Linked DNA regions of Arabidopsis thaliana. The protein of the gene in region 1 interacts with the protein of each later gene in a pairwise test. Each region holds a gene or a part of one and is shown in the gene's direction. Other genes may lie near its edges. The genes, in order: AT2G01175, AT3G46890, AT4G10080 and VP2.

Region 1 (4,656 bases):
GTGATGATTGTTTGTGTTTTTGGTGGCAGGACCAGGAGGCGCAGAGAGGGAGGATGCAGGAGATAGATCTTAGTGTTCACACTATAAAGTCCCATGGAGGAAGAGTCGCTTCTAAACACAAGCACGATTGGATCATACTCGTCATCTTGATTGCCATCGAGATAGGCTTGAACCTCATCTCTCCTTTCTACCGCTACGTGGGAAAAGACATGATGACTGACCTCAAGTACCCTTTCAAGGACAACACCGTACCTATCTGGTCTGTCCCTGTGTACGCTGTGCTTCTTCCCATCATAGTGTTCGTCTGCTTCTACCTGAAGAGGACATGTGTGTACGATCTGCACCACAGCATCCTCGGGCTGCTCTTCGCCGTCTTGATAACTGGTGTCATCACTGACTCCATCAAGGTAGCCACCGGACGCCCTCGTCCTAACTTCTACTGGCGCTGCTTCCCCGACGGCAAAGAGCTGTATGATGCGTTGGGAGGTGTGGTATGCCACGGCAAGGCAGCTGAGGTCAAGGAAGGCCACAAGAGCTTCCCGAGCGGACACACTTCCTGGTCCTTTGCGGGGCTTACATTCCTTTCCCTTTACCTCTCTGGCAAAATCAAGGCCTTCAACAATGAAGGACATGTGGCGAAACTCTGCCTCGTGATCTTCCCTCTGCTTGCCGCTTGTCTTGTGGGGATATCTCGTGTGGATGACTACTGGCACCACTGGCAAGATGTCTTCGCAGGAGCTCTCATTGGCACCCTTGTAGCCGCCTTCTGCTACCGTCAGTTCTACCCCAACCCTTACCACGAAGAAGGATGGGGTCCCTACGCCTATTTCAAGGCAGCTCAAGAACGAGGAGTCCCTGTGACCTCCTCCCAAAACGGAGATGCCTTGAGGGCTATGTCTCTGCAGATGGATTCAACATCTCTCGAAAACATGGAATCTGGCACTTCCACCGCTCCCAGATGATCCTCCTCTCTTATTATTTGATTCATTATTTGGTTTTTCATTTTGATTTGGCCGTCGTCGTGAGATTGTGAATGGTGTAGCTACATACTGTATGTGTATTCAAAACTCTACTTGTACCATTACATTTTTGTAAATCCACTCTTCATGAAATTGACGTTTTTCTGGTGTCCGAGAGGCTTGGGTCGCTCGAATAATCTCGTCCAATAGACTAATACGGCTCTAGTGAACACGGTATTTACATGTTTGTGATCTAAACTGAAATCAGTTATTTCTTAATTCGTAATCATTCTTGGGTTAACATTTTCTCTTATAATCTGATGGTTGAAGATGGCAAAGCCATTGTTAGCATAGCCATAGCTGGTTCAATCATCCACAACACTAAATTACTCGAGCTCTCCACATGCGTAATCTCTCTTTCTCTCTATTTCTCCCTTCGTTTCTCTCATTCTTCTTCTTCTTTTAATTTCTGGGTAGCTATTATTTTAGTGTAGAACAAAGTTTGACACTTGTGCTTACGCACATGCGCTGCCAACTATGCTGCAGGTATTAAATCAGTTCTGAAAATATTGAAGCACAACTGGAAACCGTTTCTTTTGTGCACTCAAGATATTAAAATGGTTCTCTGTTTCTGAAAATATTGGAACAGAACTGAAAACTGTGTTTTTGTCATGCTAGCGTATTGTTATATTGTGTTTTATTGAGCAAATGATGATACTAGCAATTCAAATTTCATCTCTTCTCTTTGTTATTATGAATTTCATGCTTGTATTGGAAGACATTATTTTGCAAAAATTTGATTTTTGTTTACTCAAGGACCCATTGTTTCTTAACCATTGGAGTAGAAATTTGTTAAAGACTCTTATTAGTTTCTTAACTTACAAAAAGCAAAATTTTAATAAAAAAAAAAAAGTTAAGGATCATGGTTAAGGACCTAACCAATGGGGATGGTCTTAGCTTCTGATCTCACTGGTCTTTGTTCGATTGAATCAATCCAAGTTTCGTAAGTGGTGATGGTAGGTAATCGGAGCAGCAGCGCATGTAACCATCGGCAGTTGTCGAAAGCTTGTATAGTCACATACCTCCCTCATCGTCTCTTCTCAGTGTCGCCAGGTAAATCTTCTCAATCGTTTCTTTTGTATATTACTCATAGAGTCGTGCGCTGTCTCTCCCTGAGAAGGTTCAATCGATTTCTTCCGATTGATGATTGATGTATCATAATCAGAACAAAGGTTATATTTCTGAATTGGATGTGTCTCTGAAATTATAGCGGATGTTGTATGTATGGGAACACAAGAGACCAATGATGATGCTAATGTTTGATTGTCATCATTGATTAAGTGAACTAATCAAGCAGAACCATGATTTGTTTTACTTTGTTGGTGCTAGTGGTTTGGGGCTATCTCTGTTTCTAATTCGTATATATGTTATGGAGGTTAAGAGGACTCTTCAAGCTTTATGGGCACTTGGGTTTCTTGGTTCTTTGGCTACTTGTGCAGCCCTTGCTAGACCAGCCGGTGATAACTTGGTTCATTATGTCGTTGATCATCCATCTGCTGTTTGGTTTGTTGGTCCCCTTTTTCAAAGAAGGTAAATATCTTGCTTCTGCATAAGGCTTCAGATAATGATTTATTGTTCTTAATCAATGAGCATATATGATTTATGTTTGTGGTCTACGAAATTAGTGTATTTTTAGATGTGTTATGTAATGTTGAACAACATCACTAGATTTGTTTTGTGTGTCTCATGTTAGAGGATTTTTGGCTTCGGTTTGTTTGTTTCTTTCTTCTGAAACACTTTTGTGTCAAGTCTTTAATCTTCTCTGTCTCTCTAATGTTATGAAGAAGGAGAGTTCAAAGATTGTGGTTATATAATGTTTTAGCATTACGAGTGGTTAACAAGAGTTAGTTAATGTGTTATAAATTCTGTTGCACGGATGAGAGTCTGATAAAATGGAATTCAAATCAGAGAAACCAGGTTCAGTTTTTCCTCTCAATATTGCATCAAATCTTTTTTAGTTTGTTTTGGATAGCAAATCTTTGATTGTTAGTCTCGAGACTAACATGATTTTGTGGATCGTGGTAACATAACCACAAAGTTGTCTATTTTATGATTTGAACATTCTACACAGTCATCCTCATCAGTGGCAAATTAACCAGGTTTGTGTATCAAAGAGTAGGCCATGTTCTGAGTATCTTCAAGAAGAGGATGATGTTTTTTTGTATAGTTTTTGTCTTTGATATGTTTTCAAATGAATCTTGTATACTTTGTCATATTTATTGTCATGAATCTTTGTTATTCAAAATGTGTTTATCAAAAATGTATCAAATTTTTTGTATAGTTTGTCTTCTCTATCTTTCTTTTCAAGCAATCTAAACTCAAATACCAAAATATTTTTTCAAATTTGTCTTTCTTAAGAATTCCTACTATTGGACATGAATATTTTTGAGAGTCCCTAAGCTAGTCCTTAGCTTTATATTTGTCAAAATTTATATTAGAAAATTCTTAAGGATTCCTTAAGGATCTTAACCATTGGGGTTGCTTATTAGTTTTTTTATATTACTTGAATTACATATTTATTTAGTTTAAAGAATAAATAATAATAAAAAGACAGTTTGGAGGGGTATGTAAAAAGTAATATAACAGAAAAATAAATATCTTGTCTGAATCAGAGAGAGAGCTCTCAACAACCAAAGCTTTGGACTCTCAGGCCAGGAAGACTATGGGATTGGGCGGCGATCAATCCTTTGTTCCCGTCATGGATTCCGGCCAAGTCCGCCTCAAGGAGCTCGGCTACAAGCAAGAGCTCAAGCGCGATCTCTCGTCTGTCTCCGCCACTCTTTCCTTTTTCTTCTTTGATTTGTGTTAGCTAAACAATTGTTAGATTTCAGGGTCTTCTCCAATTTCGCCATCTCCTTCTCCATCATATCGGTGCTCACTGGTATCACCACCACCTACAACACCGGCTTAAGATTCGGCGGCACTGTCACTCTGGTCTACGGATGGTTCCTGGCCGGCTCCTTCACAATGTGCGTTGGGTTATCTATGGCCGAGATCTGCTCCTCTTACCCTACCTCCGGTGGTCTCTACTACTGGAGTGCTATGCTCGCTGGCCCTCGTTGGGCTCCTCTTGCCTCTTGGATGACTGGCTGGTACTCCCTTCTCTCACCTTTTTCTTAATTTGGAATTGGAAGCAAGAGAGCGTCTCTCTCTGACTCATTTTCACAAATCTTTTTTCAGGTTCAACATCGTTGGTCAGGTGCAACATTCATTCAAGCAGACTTGTTTTCATTAGATATATCTCTCATTGGGGCTAAAAGTAAGGTTGTGGTGTGTTTGCAGTGGGCAGTGACGGCCAGCGTTGACTTCTCTCTGGCACAGTTGATTCAGGTGATCGTCCTTCTCTCCACCGGCGGTAGAAACGGCGGCGGTTATAAAGGATCAGACTTTGTTGTGATTGGTATCCATGGTGGGATCCTCTTCATCCACGCTCTTCTCAACAGCCTCCCCATCTCCGTCTTGTCTTTCATTGGACAGCTTGCTGCTCTTTGGAATCTCCTCGGTACCCAATCTCTCTTTTGTCTCTGTGTTTCATGTCATGTCTCAACAACAATCATCAATCAAGCATCTCTTATATTCAGGGGTTTTGGTGCTCATGATTCTGATTCCTTTGGTTTCTACGGAAAGAGCAACCACT
Region 2 (3,982 bases), on another chromosome or scaffold:
AGCCATATTCTTCAAAATTCAAATGAAATTGTGGAATTAATTTTGTGATTTCATAAAAAAAATCCAAAAGTCACAAAATATTCAAGAAATTGTGGAATTAATTTAGTGAATTTTTGTAACCTAAGAAAATCAATTGAAAATATTTAGCTTCCACTATTAATCGAGTTAAACCAAAACGAAATATCAAAATTTAAAACCAAACCACACACAAAAGAAAAGTTCTTTATAACACAACGAGTAATTTTGTTGATAAAAAAAAAAACAAAGAGTAATTTCAATTGTTCAACAAACGCAGCCTGAAGACGGCGGAAGAAGCTCGGCGGTTTTCTGGTCATCGGAGGGTTTCTTGAAAGTAGTGCTCCCAAAGAGAAAGAAACCAACGCCATAGCCGGCGATAGCGACGATGAAAACACCTGCGTTAAAGGACATAACAGCGAGCATCACCAAATACGAAAGGCCAGTCTTGAGTGTGTACACAGCGGTTTGAGCGAGCCCGGCGGCTCGATTGGTTGAGCCACTGACACGTAGGATCGGTGAATGAGCGAGCCACTCGGCAATTACGGCGAGGAGGAATATAACAATGAGACAGAGAGCGTACATGCCGGAGCTTGTCCCGGGCCATCCGGAGAAGAGAACCTCCGTGTTCTTACCCCAAAAGAAGGTCATGTGCATCATCATCATGTGTGGTGTTGTATGATTCGACATCGATGATGATGATGGTGATGGTGGTGGCATGTCATGCATGTGATCATGATCCATGATACTAATGTTAATAGGGTTTATGATTGATTTTCTTGTAGACAAAATTTTTAAGAGAGAATCGGTTCGTATTTATTGTGATTTCTTAAATGTATGTGTTGTACTGTAGTACAAGTACATCATCTTTTGACTTGTTAAATTTTTTTGTGTAGTACAAACATTCGTTATATTAGAATTTAGAAAATCCCCTTAAATAGATGTTCAAAAGAAAGACAACTATATAATCCCCTAAATATATATATAGTATTTACCTTATTTGCATGATACAACATTACAACTCCATGCCTCTTCGTCTAATCTTCTTTGCGTTGGTATAATAAATAATTTACACAGAATATCTAATTTTAATTTAGAATAAATCTAATAATTTGAAAAGAATTTATACAAATGTAATTAAGGATTTAGTAACTTAGGTTTCAAAACCAAAATTAAGGAGGTGTTATTGGTTTGTTATTTATATAGATTTTTAGTGGTTTGAAATGTTATGAAAAATCTTTTGTTATTCAATTAAGATTTTATAAGATTCTATTAAAGTTTAGTGTTATTAAATTTTGATTTGTAAAAAGTAATCTAAAGTCTTAATAAATCTGAAGTTATTGGATTCATAATTTAATAAAGTCATCAATTTTTTTGTGATATTCAACTAAAAACAAAAGAATCTATGATTGTTAATGATTTAAATTATTGTATTATTGGTTTATAATTTTATACACTTTTATTCACAAAACAAAATCATGAAAATATCATAAAAAGTGAGCGATTGTGAATCATAACTTTGTATATAAACAAAGACCAATGATAAACCATCGTGAAGAATGACCATAGATTATCACAAGCCTCAAAACCTCACGACACAGTTTGTATTGACCTTTTTCCTTACTCTTTTGGGAATTCCCCATAAACTAAGCATATATGTATAGATAGTAATAAGAAAAAAAATTGATAATCACTAGAATTTTAATCATAAAAAAAAAATATACAAAACCAAAACACTCAAACACAAAGAAGACAATAGTATATGAACACACAAATTAAGAAGATGAATTAGGAAAATTTGAAAACTTACGTATTAACAAAATCGTAGTGGAATATTTTGGGAGAGTACACTTTTTGACAATCAATACTTACGTTTTTTATAAAGAAAGCCTAAAATAATAATATCATTTTGGTGAAAATAGTATTTATAGAAGATGAGAAAATATTATCCAATATTTTAGAGATATGTTCTAATAATAATTGTTGCAAAAGCTTTAACACCACTTAAAGTCTCAATTACATGGCTTTAGATAAAAATGAAGTTACAGAGAGTAAAAAAAAATCTGACTTTTAAGACTGTATAAGAGCAAAAACAAATAACAGTCTGATTGTATGAAAAAATGCTGTAAGGACTGTCAAATGCTTTTAAAGTCTTGACAGTGCGATGTCAATCACCCTCTAAGAGATAAAAATAATTAATGACAAAGTTTGTAATTATATTTAGACAGATTTTACAAGATTATATGAAGATTTTACAAAATTATAGAAAAGCTAATCATAGAGATTATATAAAATTCTCTAATTAGTGTTGTTGGGTAAAAGACAAAAAAAAATATGACCTCTACGACGACGTATCGATACAAAAGCCCAAAAAAGAAAAAAGGTTCGATACCTTGCGGTTCACGTTTCCTATCATTACCTGTCCGTCGTTTTCTTCCTCGGAGACGTCACGCAATACTTAGCTTCTACGCTACTCACATTTTCCCACAGTCTCCGGAAAACTGACAACTAAAAGCTAAACTTTCTCTAAATATGAATTACTAAATTTCTATCTCTCTCAATCAAAATTGTTGTCTAGGAGCTATAACGATTCAGATTTGATGGCAATCTCCAATGGCGCCGTGGAATTTCTCCGGCGACGACTCCTCCCAACTACACTAATCCACGTCACGGCTATAGACGGCATCGTGAACGTTAATTCACTCTTCTCGCTTGCTCTTTTCCTCGGCCTAACCACAAGTGGAAACATCACTTTCCCGGTTTCCTCATCAGCCTCCGAGAACCACCATCTCCGCCGATGTATCTCTGCAAAAGGTCCCGCATTAGCGGAGAGGCTAGTATCAAGCCATGTTTACTCCTTCAGTTTATTCCTCTTCTCCAGTCTCATCGCTATGTCTCTCAAGCAAGCAATTAGGACAACAACAACAACAACAAACGGGAACTGTTTAGAGGAGGAGGCGCGTGTGTTGAACGCGGGAGAGGGGCGTGTGAACTTGGCAGCTTTAAGGGTTGGGATTGTTGCTTCGTGTGTTGCGTCGGTTTTGGGATGTGGGTTCTTGACAATGGCGTTAGTGGATCTTGTTCAGATTAAACTTGGACCTTTGGAATGTAAGAGAAGCTTTCATGCACTTGCAGCTATTGTTCCTCTTGTTGTACTTGTTCCTTCTGCACTTATTATCTATGTGTTCCTTGTGCTCTACGCATTTATCTATTAACCCTTTTTTGGGTTTCTACAATCTCTTGTCTGATGGATTTGAGGTTTCAGATTCGATTAGTTCTGTAGCCAGAGATCTAATCTTTGGTTTAACATTAGACAGTCAAGTATACATCATTGAAACAGTTTTTTTAAGAACAAACAAAATGTTCAAACAATCAAATATTGTTCTGTTTCAACTTGATATTCTTCTACAGAGACGCACTTAGAGAAGCTTCTAGTAATATAGTGAACCTGCGAAAATATCAAGATTAGGCATATGTTATAAGCAAAACAAACAAAGACGTGAATATTGTAACAAACATCATTTGGTTAGGGTATGTATAGTACCTTGCCACCAGTTTCCTCTAGAGGCGTCAGACGAATTGGCATCGTTGTTATCTCTGTTCTGATCCTTGTTAATCTGAATGATTCAACGTTTTGTAAAGTCAAAAGATTTTGTCTCTTCTATGAAAAAATCAACAATCAAAGTAACATGAAGGGGTGGATGATAAAATGATAGTTATGTTAACTCACTGTAGGGTAAGTATGGTTGTGTGTGGGGTGAGAGTAAACATCTTGACCACCGTAGTAAAGAGATGAGCTTAGATTGCAGGTTCCAGCTTCTTTACGTTGTTCTGTGAAGAAACCACGAAAACCAAGGAGATAATGTATCCATTAGACCACCCGGATTTGGATAGTAATCTTGACTAAAGAACGGTGAATCTTAGATGAAGAATTTTTGAGCCGTTCTTGGCATGAGATAGAAGGTTT
Region 3 (5,899 bases), on another chromosome or scaffold:
CAGATTACACCATCCAAATTTTGGGGTAGACAACAATCCGTTGTAACCTAAGTTTATTTCTAGAAAATGGGTATGTAGTTTTAGCGGGGTTTTTTCTATAATTTTTGGTTTACACTATTATATGATAATTTATTCATAATAAATAATAAACATTTCAATCTACAGAAAGATTTATTCGCCTCAACCGCTCGAATCTATATTCTTCTAAACATCTCCAATGTCCATCTCTATTTTTTTTCTCCATTTAGAGGTGATTCTATGTTAGATACATTTTGCTTCAATATATGTCTCTAAAATAGATTTTTCTCTAAAATAAAGGAATCTTACGTTTTAATCTATATAAAGAGTAAAATCTATTTATTTTCTCTATTTTGGAGAAAAAAACTATTTTAGAAGAATACATTGGAGCAAAATCTAATTTCCTCTAAAATAAATTTGTCTCTAAAATGAAAGAAAAAAATAGAGGTGTGCATTGGAGATGGTTTTAGACCGTCTACTCTATTTTAACTGATACATCCCCTATATATTAATTGAGAAGTATTTTAAATAAAAAACCTTACATTCACGTGTGATTTACAAGACTATCATGCTGACATGTCGTAACCAGAAAAACTTTCAACAAACTTAATAGTTATCCAATATTTACTAGACTAATTACATATAATGCCATTAGTGGTACTTATGCATATTTTTCCTCTACATTTAAGAGAGTAGCAATTAATAAAGAAAATTAATCAAAAAACCATATATATTTGAGCAAACAAGTAAAAAGTATATATCATAAATTATGATGAACAACATATAATATAAATGTTTATTATATGTTTCGTACTTTATTTTTTTAGGTTTTATAGAAAACATTTAGAATTTTAACATATATGACATTCTATTTTTTTGTTATAAATTGCAAAAAATCTAAATGTATATGTGAGCCCATATGATTCTTGAATATATTCGGAACATAGTTTTACATAAATTAGTTAGTAACATTTCATTTATTACACATTCACTATGAACAATATTTCAATATTAATCTATGTTAAAAATGTATCCGCTTACTGATTACTTTCAATATTATTTCTTTTCAAATTTTTACCTTATCAATTTATTAAAACTTTTACACAGTTTATTCAATTTAATTAGTCATTTACTCATTTTAGTTAAAATTTATTTACAACCCAAAACCTTATCGTAACAATATAAATTGATTAATAAAATAAGGGATATGCAATAAATCAATCCTAACTACATAGAATTATGAAGAATAATAAAAGATAATCAAAAATTTATTACGTTTAAAACATAATTATTCATACTCTTTTCAGTTTTTATATTGAATTGTTTCCAAAATAAAATCTTATAAAATACAAAAAATATTCGAATATATTTCTGAATTATAGGAATGATATTTCAGATTTTCTTTTGGGTCAATATTTTAATTTAAAATCTTATTCCAAATATAGAATATCCTAATTCCTAACTAATAAAATCTCCAAAATATATCAGTTACTAAATCATATTCAAATATTCACACTTATATATCAAGTGATAATATAAAATCTGTTTCCAAAAACTTGTTTATATATTTCATATAACTATTTCTCCCTGTACATAGTTCGGGTAAATCATCTAGTATTTGATTAATTCATTTGATCTGCACCATACGATTCGTCGTGAACCCTAATTAAATCATTGTGAAAAACCAAAAAAATGAAAGAACAAAAGGAATAAATACCATACTTCTCTCAATCTACCAACCTTTAATGTCAAAAGATCTAGTTGAGTACTGAGAATGTTACGTGACCAATTAGATACCTCTACATAACTACTTCCTCAAAGTGGATAAGAACCATTCTTTTCGAAACAAACTAAACTATTAGAGACTAAACCATTTAATTTTGGAGCGGACAATAATCCGTTATAAACTAAATTTATTTCTATATAAAATCGGTCTAAAGTTTTTACCGATTTTTTTTTTCTATATTTTTGGTCAGTACTATTATAAATACTAATCTATAAATAATAAATAAGAAAATATTTCAATCTACCGATGGATTTATTTGCAAAACCCACCTCAACCGTTTGAATCTTGATTATATATATTTTTCTTACATCGTCTACTCTATTTTAACCGATACATATTTGTTTAATTCATTTGATCCGCACCATACGATTTATTGCCGAATCCTAATTAAATCGTTTTAAAAAATAAAATAAAAATGAAAGAACAAAATGAATAAATACTATAGTTCTCTGAATCTACTAAACTTTAATGCCAAAAAATTTAGTTGAGGACTGAGATTGACACGCAACCAATTAGATACCTCCACGTAATTACTTTCTCAAAGTGGATAAGAACCATTCTTTTCCATCATCAACCGCTCTAATTTGTTGCGATCCTTTTCCAATATTTGGGGTTTTATCCATTAGGGTTTCTGATTATTGCAATCCCAATCTGAAATCTTCGAATTCGATCATCATGGATGATTGGGAGCTTCTTCATCATGGCTCTGATACAGAATCAACTGATTCAATCACATCGGAGACGAAATTAGAGAGTTCAAGCGTAATCGATGACGGTATGATTCTTTCTGATCATTTCTCTGCTACTGATCGGGTGATTGAATCGGGTTATTTTGATTCTTTTCGGGTTGATTACGGGTCGGAGTGTCTGAATCCGGGTGAGGTTAGTGTTGATTCTGGTTTGGATCAGTTCAGTGTTAGTCAATCGGGTGATGATTGTGTCAGAAATGAATTTGGGGTTTATGATTCAGAAACTGGAATTTTGGGTGATGGTGAGGTTAGGCTTAGTGATTTTGAAGCTGCCAATGAGAAATATGTTGAGAGCGAAGCTGCTACTGAATTAACTGGTGGAACCGTATCTCACTATGAAACAGAGAATCTCGAAGAATTCGTTGATGGAAGGCACGGTGAGAACGAATCGGGTGTTGAAGAACCTATTGAGGATTCGAGCAAGTTGTGTTCTGATTTAGGGGGAAATGAATTGGTTTCTCGAGATTCTGGGGTTGTGAATGGTGAAAAAGAAGTTGTTTCTGATAGTGTAGTTGCTTCTAGTGAAGTAATTGAGGGAAGTGGAGGAGATACTGTGGAAGTTGGAGGCGTGAGTTCTGGTGGTGAGGGTAAAAGTAGAGAGACTGTGTGGTGGAAGATGCCATTTGTGCTTCTTAAGTACTCTGTGTTTAGGATTGGTCCGGTTTGGTCTGTCTCTATGGCTGCTGCTGTGATGGGTTTGGTTCTCTTGGGACGTAGATTGTATAATATGAAGAAGAAAGCTCAAAGGTTCCATCTTAAAGTTACGATTGACGATAAGGTACACTATATTATCATTGACCCTTGTGTTTTCATTTTGCTTGAAGTTGGTAAGCTGGTCTAGATTGATACGTTTTAGGAGTTAGCTACACTCTATGTTGTGTTGATGCAATTGGTCTGACTTGAGCCGTAGAATTTCAAGTTTAGTTTAGTTCTTGTCTTGTCCTGCCTTATATTAAGGTGGGGGTATTGGACGCATGAATTTGATAGACTTCAATAGAATCTTAAATTCTAGTGTTATTCAATTAGACATTTCACAAATTCTTTTAAATTCTTGTGTTATTTAACTTGCTCATTTCTTAATTCTATTAGTTGCAAGTGTTATTCAGTTTTCGGTAGTTTTGTTTGACAACGTTACTTCACAAGAATTTAATAGAAAAATTGGTCTAAAATGTGAAGAACAAATTCTGAGTTTTTGAGTTGAGATTTGGATAGAATATAACACATCCATCCTTTTTTTCTCTTTCATCGATTTGCTTCAACCATACAAAAAAAATTCTCAAATCTGAGGGAGAGTGTTTAACACATTTATTAGAATCTGTGATTTCGATCCGGTTTATTCTTCGGATCATCATTCGTTCGATTATATATGAGGAGAGTGCGTTAATCTATAGAGAGCAGATGAGCGGAGGTTGTGATGACGTCGTTGTCGTTGTTGTCAAAATATGGATCTCTTCCATTTCATGTAAACGTCAACGTAGATTGTTTCTGGGTTAAGAGGTTTGTGAAGGAAAAAGTACAGTTTTTAGAGATTGGGCATGGTGGCTGTCCCGATAAAGAGCATTGTGGAACAAAAGATTTCAGTAATTTATCTTCTTAATTCTAGTAGAATTCTATTAAAAATACTGCAAAATATTTATTTGAATTGAGAAGAAAGATTCGAAATTCTTTTATTATACCTGAAAATCTAGAATTTATGTCCAATACCCCCCTCTAAGATATAGATTTTGTAGTTAATATGTTCTTGTAATCTGTCTGAATTAAGTACAAAAATACTGAGGCATCATCCGCTGAAAATGCTGTGATTTGATATTTTCCCTTAGCGCACATCTCTTTGCTTGGTTGGTATTTGTTTGGTGTTGGTTTACTTCTATCATTATCACGTCTTGGGTTGTTTATGATCTGTGCAGAAGGCGTCGCGGGTGATGAGTCAGGCTGCTCGACTCAATGAAGTGTTCACAGAGGTAAGAAGGGTCCCTGTGATCCGCCCTGCTCTACCATCGCCTGGCGCATGGCCGGTTTTGAGCCTTAGATGAGAAGCCGTTTTCTACAATACCTAGACACAGTGGAGAATCAATCATACAATGTCCATCACTTTATGTACCGTAAGAATACAAATACATGTGTTTATGTCGTACCTATGCATAAGTAGTAGTTTACCATCTTATGAAATCGCGTATGTGAGTCGTGTCCCAACCGTGGGATACACTGCAGAGTGATTACCGTAGCGATTTATGTATGTTCAGAGACTGAAAATCCCAGTTGGTAAGCCTTTTTCTATGTTTGATCTTAAGAATTTCATAAGCTATATGTGGGTTTTGTTATGGATTTCATTGGGGTTTCAAGCTTGTAAACTATTATAGAGAGGAGGACATAGTCCAAAGTCGATAAAACCACTACAATGGAAATAAAGACCCTACAAATTTCTACTATGTTGTCGATTCTACAAAATTTGAGTAGAAGCTATCGTCTCAACAACATCCCCTCGACGATCAACAAAGAAAACATCATTATTTTTGATAACTTTAAAAAAAAAACTGGTAGCCCATTTTTAGGCCCAATAAAAGCCCGAACATTATAAATAGACGTTAAAGCCTTAAACGTTACTTCTCCACCACCGTTCAGAGTCGCAACCCAAACTCTTTTCACTGCCGGAGATAATTCTCTTCTTCCCCAAACCCTACAGTACTCAGCTTTCCCTAAATTCCTCGCCGGACGATTCGTTTCCAGATGACGGAGGAAGATTTTGTTGTTATCTCTACGCCGCCTGTCGATCTCAAGCGAAAGCTCGACGAAGTTGAGCTTAATGGAAATATCGTGGATGATAGCAATCAAACATCTGATTCTTCTCAGGCTAAACGAGCGAAGCTAGAAGATGAAGCTCAAGATGGTTTAGGTGTTTCTGTCTCTTTGGCTTCTTATAAACTAAAGTTTTGATTTTTATGATGTTCTATGGTTATAGTTTTCAAAAAAAGAGATTTCTTTGAGTTTGTTGATAAATCAGTCTTTCTCATTGTTGTTCTTCGGCCTTTGTTGTAGATTATGGGAATACACAAGAAAATGGGTCTTCAATGGAGGTAAAAGAGGAAGAACAGCTTCAGGAACCTAAGGAAGAGAATCAAGATTCTGTACCACTTGTTGAGGAAGTTCAGGATCCTATTCATGCTGATGAGTCTGAAAATAAGATTTGTAGTGTAGATCAGCCAACAGATGATCAGGTTAAGCCTGAGGATAACCAACAAGGTTGTATTGAGGATGTCAATGGTGGTGAACATCAGAAGGTGATTGATGACGATAGTAAGGAAGTGAATGATGGTAGTTCTCAAGAGAATGGTAAAGAAGAAAATAA
Region 4 (8,823 bases), on another chromosome or scaffold:
TACCTTTTCAGAAATTTTGTATGCAGCGATACTGCCTTCATAGTTGTTAAGTTCATAATTTACTTCTCCAAGCAGTCGAAATACATCAGGGTCAGTTGGTCTCTCCTACAGAGCAAGAGCAAGAATCCCACTTTGTACACACTATTAGCTAAGTCTCGTACAAGAATGTTCATGTGAAACCATAAGAAAATATAAAAGCATGAGAGAACAAACCTTAGCGAGTTTCTCAAGAAACGCAGCAGCCCGTGAATAATCTCCTAGTTCAGTCAGTGTCACAGCTGCACCCTGCATAGTGCCCCAACTTTAAGAATTTTTTTAGCATTATAAATAAGTCAGAAGAGGTAGCCTATCTTGTTTTCAGCATACTATGTGTACATTACTAACTTCGGTGAATCAGTTAATGCAAACAGAAAAGTTCCATGCAATTTAAGATGTGGAGGTAAGAACTGTTACATACTACCTGATTATTAGTTTAAGTTGTTCCTTGTTACTATTGGAAGCCTACAGATGAATGGCTAAATGCCGATGAAGAAGATATTTAATAGTATGCACAACATGCGCATGTTATCACTCACCTCCAGAGCAGCTTGATCCTGAGGCGTGCCATTGAGAGTTGTTTCAAACTCTTTGAGCCTTTGCTGCAAAATGAAAAAAAATCGAGATGTTTACTACGTATCTTACTTTATTCAGATTATCAAAGTTCATGAACGAAATCTTCATGATCAGCCCCTAATATTACCTGAAGCGTGGCTTTCTCTTCTTCTGAAATTTGATTTTTAACTACTGTTGTGTTCTTAGTTGGACTATCACTGAAAAGTGGTAAAAACATTGTTAGAACTGACACCGGCTAAATTACATGACAACATGACTTGGTATGACAAAAATGTGAAATTACGGAAACCAACCCAGCTGATCCTAAGAACATATGATGTCATCAGAATCTTTACACAAACAATTACAAACTGGAATAAAAAGAAGGAAAATGACAAACAGTAACATGGTGTAAATGACACAGTTATGACTTGGACTTCACTTAACGCACCTTCCCGTGGGAAGAAAGTCACCAAGAGCAAAAACCAAACCAAATACAACAACAGCTATGCCAACTCCAACCTGTCATGGCATGGGCCCAAGTTTTGTCATGTTATGTATGAGTAGCTTATAGGCCTCAAGTGGTTTTAGAACAAAATAAAAAATAAACACTTGCAAGATGTTATGTATGCGTACCTTAGTACCAAGACCAATTGTTTTCTGGTCAGACTTGACTGGTGCATCATAGTCAATTGGACCAAATTCTTTAACTACTTCTGTCTTTTTCTGCTCAAGAGCTGACCTGATTCATCAAAAGAGCAGAGGTCACAGAAATAACATTCCGATCAGTGGGAGGACAATGATCTTGACTATGTCTAGGGGGTGAGGGAAGTGGAAAGCAAGACAAGTGATGAACAAATCAAGAAAAAAAAAGAATCAAACTTTCATAGGAAGATCATGTCGTTGTGGGTATAATGAGAAAGTCAAGTGTGATTGTCAGAGGAATAATCCTATTGTAACCTATATATCTCTAAAGCCAATCTTCATGCTAGAATCATAAAACATAGGTACCTTCTGATGTTTTCCAGCCGTTCATCGAAGTCTATATCAAAAGATCGACCAGATTTTCCTTCAAACTGAGTATTCAGACCAGGTGCCTCTGCAAACAAATGCAGGAGTTTCTTGAGCAAACCTTTCAATTGAAACCAACTTTTTGAGATAAACTGAAGAATGCAAAAATGAAGTTATGTTCGAGACACCATGAAGGAGAGCAGCAACATCTGTTACGTACAATATGCTTTAAAATCAAATTATACTTACTTCTGGGTACAGAAACAGACTGTTTAGAAGATGATTTCCTGCAGCAAAGAAGTCCATATGAAAATATAACAACAGCAATTTAAAATTCTAAATGCTTTAAACAAACACAAAAACTATTTATACCTTTGCTGCAATGCCGGGTCTTTCTCTTCCTGTGATGCGATTTCACATTTTTGTCTCAGTACTTTGAATCAACAAAATTAAGTTGAACAAAGAAGAATTTGGAATCAAACCTTTTTTGAGCCGAAGCCACGCTTAGGGTTAGAATCCGAGCAACGTATTCGAAATAGGAGAAGCTTCGAGTTAAATGAAACGGAGGTCGTCGCCGCTAGTGTCATCAACATCCTCTGTTTGTATTGTCCTAACCAAAACAGAGAATTTTCTAAGAAAGTTTCAAAGAAATAATGAGAAGTAACGGCTACGAAGAGAAATTCGTCCGCCGGAGATTGACGATGAAAGGTGAGCTCCGTGATCGGGCCGGTAAGATAACGTTAGTGGTTCTTCTTCTTCTTCACTTTGCAGATTGTCTATTATATGGGCCGAATGGCAAAACATAATTTTGGGCTAGGCCCATATAATATTCAAATGTTAATATTCCAAAATTGATGGGTATTTTTGATAATTTAACTCGATCTATATAATTTAACAAACGAGGATGATTTTAAGTTTTTAACTTTTTAAGTGAGAATAGTGATTAAGTGTCAACGACTCATTGGATAGGATGTGTCATAAAATTAGTATTGAACCACTGAGGAGTGAAAATAAAATTAAAGGTAGAAAAATTAATTTAGGAAAAAAATATTCGGAAAGTTCTGTGAAAAGTCTTCGGATTTAGAACGGAGACAGCGAGAGGATAGAGCGCTTCTTCGGCTACAACAAGCTTTCGCTAATGGCGGTTTCCTTCTGATCACTCTCACCGGAGCCGTCATCTTCTCTGTTTTACCGATTTTTAGGGTTTGTTTCCGGATAAACTCTTCGTATGCTTTTTTTTTTTCGTTGGATTCGTTTCTGGAAACGTATCCATTTCCTGTCTAGAGATCATGTGAATTTCTCTTAGAACAGAACTCAGATCTAAATTAAAGTAACGGTGCTTGATTCATTAAACTCGGAATGCAAAGTCCCTTGCGTTTTATTCACTGAAATCTTAGTCGATTAGATCTTGAGGTCTGTTTGTTAATCGCACTTTTCTGGGGAATTGATCGTAGAAGCAATTACGCTCATGGGAAATGATGAAAGTTATAGCTAAACTTTACTGTAGAACCTTACTCTGATTATATTTCATTTAAAAATGCTATTTGGTTGGTAAAGAGAAACATCACAACTTTTCATACTTTTCTATTTTTTTCAGAAATTTTGATTGTGGTGGAAACTTGTTGTGGCAACTCTACTGAGAAAGTTTGAAGAAGCTGGAATCAAAGATATAGCTAGAGTTAAGAGGGTTCATACTAACTTGTGCTCGTTTTGTGATGTGCTGTTGTTAACGTTTGGAGGAAAAAGTTGTAGTGTATTAAAATTCAGCGTCCGAGTTCTGGGGCGGAGTTGCCCCATAGCATTGACTTTACGCCTCTACACATAGTCCGAAGGGCTAATTCAGCTCAAAACATGATGATGGATGAAGATGTTGAGCAGGCCAGTTTGATGTCTTTCAATGACAGGCCTAGGGCTTTTCCCAACATGCGTAGTAAAACCTATAGTCCACTGGTACAACTTTTATTCCTCTCTTTCTTGAGTGCTTTTCTTTTTGCTTGCATCAGATCACTGAGATGCGTATTATAACTAGTTTCCTTCTATTTCGTTTAGCATCTTAGTTTCTTGAGCATCTCGTTTTCATTTTCTTTGAAATTGTATAAAGTTTAGTTGTTTTTTGGCAGATATTCCGGATTATTAGGAAATTAAATGTCCGTGTCCTTTCGATAATTCTGCTTTTCTGCTTCGGAGCAATCTTTTACATGGGGGCAAGTACTTCTCCCATCATCGTGTTCGTCTTCACAGTATGCATCATCAGCTTCCTTTTGTCAATATATCTAACCAAGTGGGTTTTAGCGAAAGATGAAGGACCTCCAGAGATGGTTGAGGTAAGCTCACTCAGATTATGTGGTGTTAGTCATGATGTTGACATTTTTCCTTCTTTGTTCTCATCAAAAATTTGTAATTCTAATTTGTGAGGTAATTCTCTTACTTATAGATATCAGATGCTATACGTGATGGAGCTGAAGGTTTTTTCAGAACGCAGTATAGCACTATATCCAAGATGGCCATTTTGCTAGCTTTTGTGATTCTTTGCATATATCTATTCCGTAGCTTAACTCCCCAGCAAGAGGCTGCTGGTTTAGGAAGGTGCTGATACATGATTACATTCACAAGATTTATTTTATCTTTTGAATTGTTGTGAATGAAGCTTAGCCATATTACTATTTTGCTGCAGGGCGATGTCTGCTTATATTACTGTTGCTGCATTTCTTTTGGGGGCTCTATGCTCAGGTATTGCTGGATATGTTGGAATGTGGGTGTCAGTTCGTGCTAATGTGCGGGTCTCCAGTGCTGCCAGACGATCTGCGAGAGAAGCATTGCAGGTTCTTCTTTAGTTTAGCTATTTTGGTAACATGTCATGTACACGTTTCCAAATACTAAGTGGCAGATATAATGCAGATAGCCGTTCGTGCTGGTGGGTTTTCAGCCCTGGTTGTTGTTGGTATGGCTGTGATTGGTATCGCCATCCTCTATTCTACATTTTATGTGTGGTTGGGCGTGGGTTCACCAGGCTCAATGAATGTTACTGACCGTAAGTCTTCTGCTCTTTTTTTTTTATGAAAAATATTCATTTTCGTCTTGTGTGTATATTCTATAATCATTGTACTGAGTTTCAAAAAGTTATTGTTATCTTTTCAAAGGATCATTTTCAGACATGAGCAGTATTTTCTTAAATATGTCATGACTTGTATTAATCTTGATTGAGGTGGGGTACCAATACAGTTCTAAGATTTTCAGTGAACCCTATATGTAATTCTCTTGATTTATTGACCAGAATTTGCATTTGCATGGGCGATAGTGGAGCTATTAAACTTGTAAGATTTATTGATTGAATTTTCTGTTTCTCTTACAGTACCTCTTCTTCTTGTCGGATATGGTTTTGGTGCTTCGTTTGTTGCCTTATTTGCTCAGTTGGGTGGTGGAATATATACTAAGGGAGCTGATGTTGGGGCAGATCTCGTTGGGAAAGTTGAGCAGGGAATTCCCGAGGATGATCCTCGAAATCCTGCTGTTATTGCTGATTTGGTATTTGATCTTTGTTCTTTTTGTTTCTTACTTTCTTGATTCTGTGATTCCCAAACGTGACATCCTTGTTTGGGGCATATATCACTCTACAAGGGTTTGCTTGTGTTTTCGTCATTTAGGCATTTAAAGCCATTTTCATCTTCTTGTAGGTTGGAGACAATGTGGGGGACTGTGCTGCTAGAGGTGCTGATTTATTTGAAAGTATAGCTGCAGAAATCATCAGTGCAATGATACTAGGTGGAACAATGGCTAAGAAGTGCAAAATTGAAGGTGCACCATCTCTCTTTAAAGTTACTTCTGGTATATGCAAATATATAACTTATGGTGTGAGTTCCTGACTCATACCGAGAAAATTAAATGAACTGCTAGGATTTTATAATCTGAAATGCAAACTTAGGAAGAGTTGCATAGAGAGTTCAAGCTCGTAAATTACATTCTGTATACAGAATAATCTACGCTTTATTGCATGTTTTGGTCACTCCTTGAGGATTTGAGGGTACATTATTACTTGTTAGGATTTAAAAAGTCGACATAAGTTGTATAGAGTTATTGTTTGAAGCACCTTGTACGAACCTGCTATGCATTGTGTGAAAATTGAAGGAAGACTACTTTTCATGACAGCAAGCTACACTTGGCTGCAGTCAAAAAATTTCAATAACATTACCCATTTCTAGCAGTGGTTGTTAGATATGCGCTGATAAACATCCTATTAAACCTCTTGTTCATGCTTGATACTTACTCAAATCTTTCTCTATTATGCAGATCCATCAGGCTTTATCCTTTTTCCTCTAGTTGTTCATTCTTTTGACTTGATTATATCCTCAATTGGTATTCTATCAATCAAGGGAACACGTGATGCTAGTGTGAAATCTCCGGTAGAGGATCCAATGGCTGTACTTCAGAAAGGATATTCTCTGACAATTATATTAGCTGTTATAACATTTGGCGCGGTAATGTTGTCACACATAACCATTGATTGTCTTGTTCCTTTCATTCTTTTTACAATTAATTCTGCTTTTTATGGGCTTTTTGGTTCAGACTTTTCATTAGCCTACACTAGCCTTGTTATTACTGAAATTTCGAACAAATTCTTTGCTATATTCTTCTGACAGCATTATTTATGTTTGTAGTCGACTCGCTGGCTGCTTTACACTGAACAAGCTCCATCTGCATGGTTCAATTTCGCCCTATGTGGGTTGGTTGGCATCATCACAGCCTATATCTTTGTCTGGATATCCAAATATTATACAGACTATAAGCACGAGCCTGTTCGGACGTTGGCTCTTGCTAGCTCGACTGGTCATGGGACTAATATCATTGCTGGAGTAAGCTTGGGCCTGGAATCAACTGCTCTTCCAGTTTTGACTATAAGTGTAGCTATTATTTCTGCGTATTGGTTGGGCAATACCTCGGGTCTAGTGGACGAAAATGGTATTCCCACTGGAGGTCTATTTGGAACAGCCGTTGCTACAATGGGAATGCTAAGCACTGCAGCTTATGTCCTTACTATGGACATGTTTGGCCCCATAGCTGACAACGCTGGTGGGATTGTCGAGATGAGCCAGCAGGTAAGATGTCACATGATTGGCTTGAAAGGCTCTTATGTTCCATCTTTATTCTATGTAGAAATAATAAATGTTTCGTGCAGCCAGAGAGTGTCCGTGAGATCACTGATCTTCTTGATGCTGTTGGGAACACCACAAAAGCAACAACGAAAGGGTTTGCCATTGGATCTGCTGCACTTGCATCATTCCTTCTCTTTAGTGCGTATATGGACGAGGTTTCAGCGTTTGCTAATGTGTCTTTCAAAGAGGTAGATTTCGTTATGCATCGTTGCTGTATTCTCGATGTTGAGACAACTTCTCATACTCATCCTCGGATAAAATCAGGTTGATATTGCTATCCCAGAAGTGTTCGTTGGTGGATTATTGGGTGCCATGCTTATTTTCCTCTTTAGTGCTTGGGCATGCGCGGCAGTTGGTCGAACTGCACAAGAGGTTGTCAACGAAGTAAGAAGGCAATTTATTGAGAGGCCTGGCATAATGGTGAGCATATTTTTCCTTTTGAGTGCTTCACCTTTTCTTGTGTATTGGCTTGTACCGTTGTTGACTAGCAAATATCTTGTTGCAGGAGTACAAGGAGAAGCCAGATTATAGTCGCTGTGTCGCCATAGTCGCATCTGCAGCTTTAAGAGAAATGATAAAGCCAGGAGCTTTAGCTATTGCATCACCCATTGTAGTTGGTAAGTCAGTAATATCTACTCGTTTTTCTTTACTTACTGTATTGAAAGTTTGAAACCACAACATTGTGACCAAAAACAAACCTCTTGTTCTCTCTTTCAGGTTTGGTGTTTCGAATCTTGGGTTACTACACAGGACAACCTCTGCTCGGAGCAAAAGTTGTAGCTTCTATGCTCATGTTTGCAACAGTTTGTGGTATCTTAATGGCACTTTTCCTAAACACGGCGGGAGGTGCTTGGGACAATGCAAAGAAATACATAGAGACCGGGGCACTTGGGGGCAAAGGAAGTGAAGCTCACAAAGCAGCTGTGACTGGTGATACGTAAGTATTTTCGTTCTACTTCAACACTCATTCAAAGTTATATTCCTGAATACGATTTCTCATTAGAATTCATCTGAAAATTGTAGCGTGGGAGATCCGTTCAAGGACACAGCCGGTCCATCCATTCACGTCCTCATAAAAATGCTTGCGACTATAACTCTCGTCATGGCTCCGGTTTTCCTCTGAAAGTGAACCGTTACTTATCCATCCCGGCTTATTTACTCTCTTGCACATATACAAATAGAGAGGGAGAGAGGTTGGTTATAAAATGATTTACATGGATTAATGGTTTTTGTGTTTCATTTCATCTGAATAAATGAGATAATTCTGTTTTTGAGTTTAGAGACACTCTTTAAGGAATTCTAGAGACATTTTAATCAACCACATCTTTGACTTTGAGAGTCTTTATTTTCCTCGATTTAATCTTTCTAGTACTTCTTCTTACTCTTCTTGATTTGCCTCCAACTCGTACAGACAATTGTCTACTCGGTAGTCTTATGAGACGGCGGTTGTTGCGATTGCTGCCATGATGGTGGTGGCTGTGTTTGCTTCCTAGTCTTCTTCTTCTCTGCTTTGGTCTAATGTTATCTATTCGACTGGGACTGTCCGATGAACTTGATTCATCATCACTCGGATAATCATAGGTCGTAGCTTCTATATCATCGAGACGTTTTCTGCGACGGTTGACCCGATTTATGTTAGTCAAACTGTGACACAAGCAACTAATCATCTCTCCAATGTCGAACCAGTACGCTGCACAAGCGGCACATGACATTTTGCAGATACTTTTCACAACACATTGGCAAATTCCAAGCTTGAACAGGAGGGTGATGAACATCAAAACTGGGAAAAAGAAACAAATACAAAATTATAGAAAACAAAGGAAAGTTCACAGAATCAATAGTGAATGCTAAAAATCGGAAATAAGAGAAAGGTTTACTTATGAAACAGAGGCTTGACATCAGCACAAGCTTTGCAATATCAGGAAGACAGAAATGTTCTATGAAACACTCAAGATCCCATGGTCCCGAGCATACATCTCTGTAATTTTTAAACAGAAGAGAAATCCTCAAAACATGCGATAGAAAAACAAACCAAAGCGATTTCACGACAGAATTCAGACAATGACGTGAA

The links.
Region 2: the proteins of AT2G01175 (region 1) and AT3G46890 interact in a protein complementation assay, tested with the Arabidopsis thaliana proteins (one large-scale study listed by BioGRID).
Region 3: the proteins of AT2G01175 (region 1) and AT4G10080 interact in a protein complementation assay, tested with the Arabidopsis thaliana proteins (one large-scale study listed by BioGRID).
Region 4: the proteins of AT2G01175 (region 1) and VP2 interact in a protein complementation assay, tested with the Arabidopsis thaliana proteins (one large-scale study listed by BioGRID).

The regions. Positions count from the first base shown.
Region 1 is NC_003071.7:103,488-108,143, reverse strand, and holds AT2G01175 (uncharacterized protein), read left to right. Parts: upstream 1-1,852; 5' UTR 1,853-2,072; intron 2,073-2,348; 5' UTR 2,349-2,383; coding exon 2,384-2,572; 3' UTR 2,573-3,260; downstream 3,261-4,656. Other genes in the region: PAP1 (phosphatidic acid phosphatase 1), read left to right, coding at 30-962; BAT1 (bidirectional amino acid transporter 1), read left to right, coding at 3,682-3,782, 3,851-4,111, 4,200-4,218, 4,302-4,521, 4,601-4,656.
Region 2 is NC_003074.8:17,265,664-17,269,645, reverse strand, and holds AT3G46890 (maternal effect embryo arrest protein), read left to right. Parts: upstream 1-2,517; 5' UTR 2,518-2,615; coding exon 2,616-3,230; 3' UTR 3,231-3,305; downstream 3,306-3,982. Other genes in the region: COPT2 (copper transporter 2), read right to left, coding at 283-759; AT3G46880 (uncharacterized protein), read right to left, coding at 3,380-3,463, 3,560-3,676, 3,746-3,846.
Region 3 is NC_003075.7:6,299,141-6,305,039, reverse strand, and holds AT4G10080 (uncharacterized protein), read left to right. Parts: upstream 1-2,295; 5' UTR 2,296-2,479; coding exon 2,480-3,331; intron 3,332-4,460; coding exon 4,461-4,586; 3' UTR 4,587-5,021; downstream 5,022-5,899. Other genes in the region: AT4G10070 (KH domain-containing protein), read left to right, coding at 5,281-5,446, 5,590-5,899.
Region 4 is NC_003070.9:29,668,887-29,677,709, forward strand, and holds VP2 (vacuolar H+-pyrophosphatase 2), read left to right. Parts: upstream 1-2,608; 5' UTR 2,609-2,805; intron 2,806-2,893; exon of another isoform or gene 2,894-3,105; intron 3,106-3,199; 5' UTR 3,200-3,453; coding exon 3,454-3,552; intron 3,553-3,722; coding exon 3,723-3,926; intron 3,927-4,036; coding exon 4,037-4,188; intron 4,189-4,276; coding exon 4,277-4,424; intron 4,425-4,500; coding exon 4,501-4,633; intron 4,634-4,954; coding exon 4,955-5,127; intron 5,128-5,276; coding exon 5,277-5,397; intron 5,398-5,889; coding exon 5,890-6,077; intron 6,078-6,257; coding exon 6,258-6,695; intron 6,696-6,775; coding exon 6,776-6,940; intron 6,941-7,016; coding exon 7,017-7,172; intron 7,173-7,257; coding exon 7,258-7,369; intron 7,370-7,469; coding exon 7,470-7,689; intron 7,690-7,775; coding exon 7,776-7,875; 3' UTR 7,876-7,945; exon of another isoform or gene 7,946-8,062; coding exon of another isoform or gene 8,063-8,532; 3' UTR 8,533-8,629; downstream 8,630-8,823. Other genes in the region: AT1G78915 (Tetratricopeptide repeat (TPR)-like superfamily protein), read right to left, coding at 4-105, 214-285, 576-638, 740-809, 865-915, 1,034-1,113, 1,228-1,333, 1,603-1,690 and 3 more; AT1G78922 (uncharacterized protein), read right to left, coding at 8,063-8,532, 8,630-8,730. UniProt on the Arabidopsis thaliana protein: Pyrophosphatase active in both inorganic pyrophosphate hydrolysis and H(+) translocation.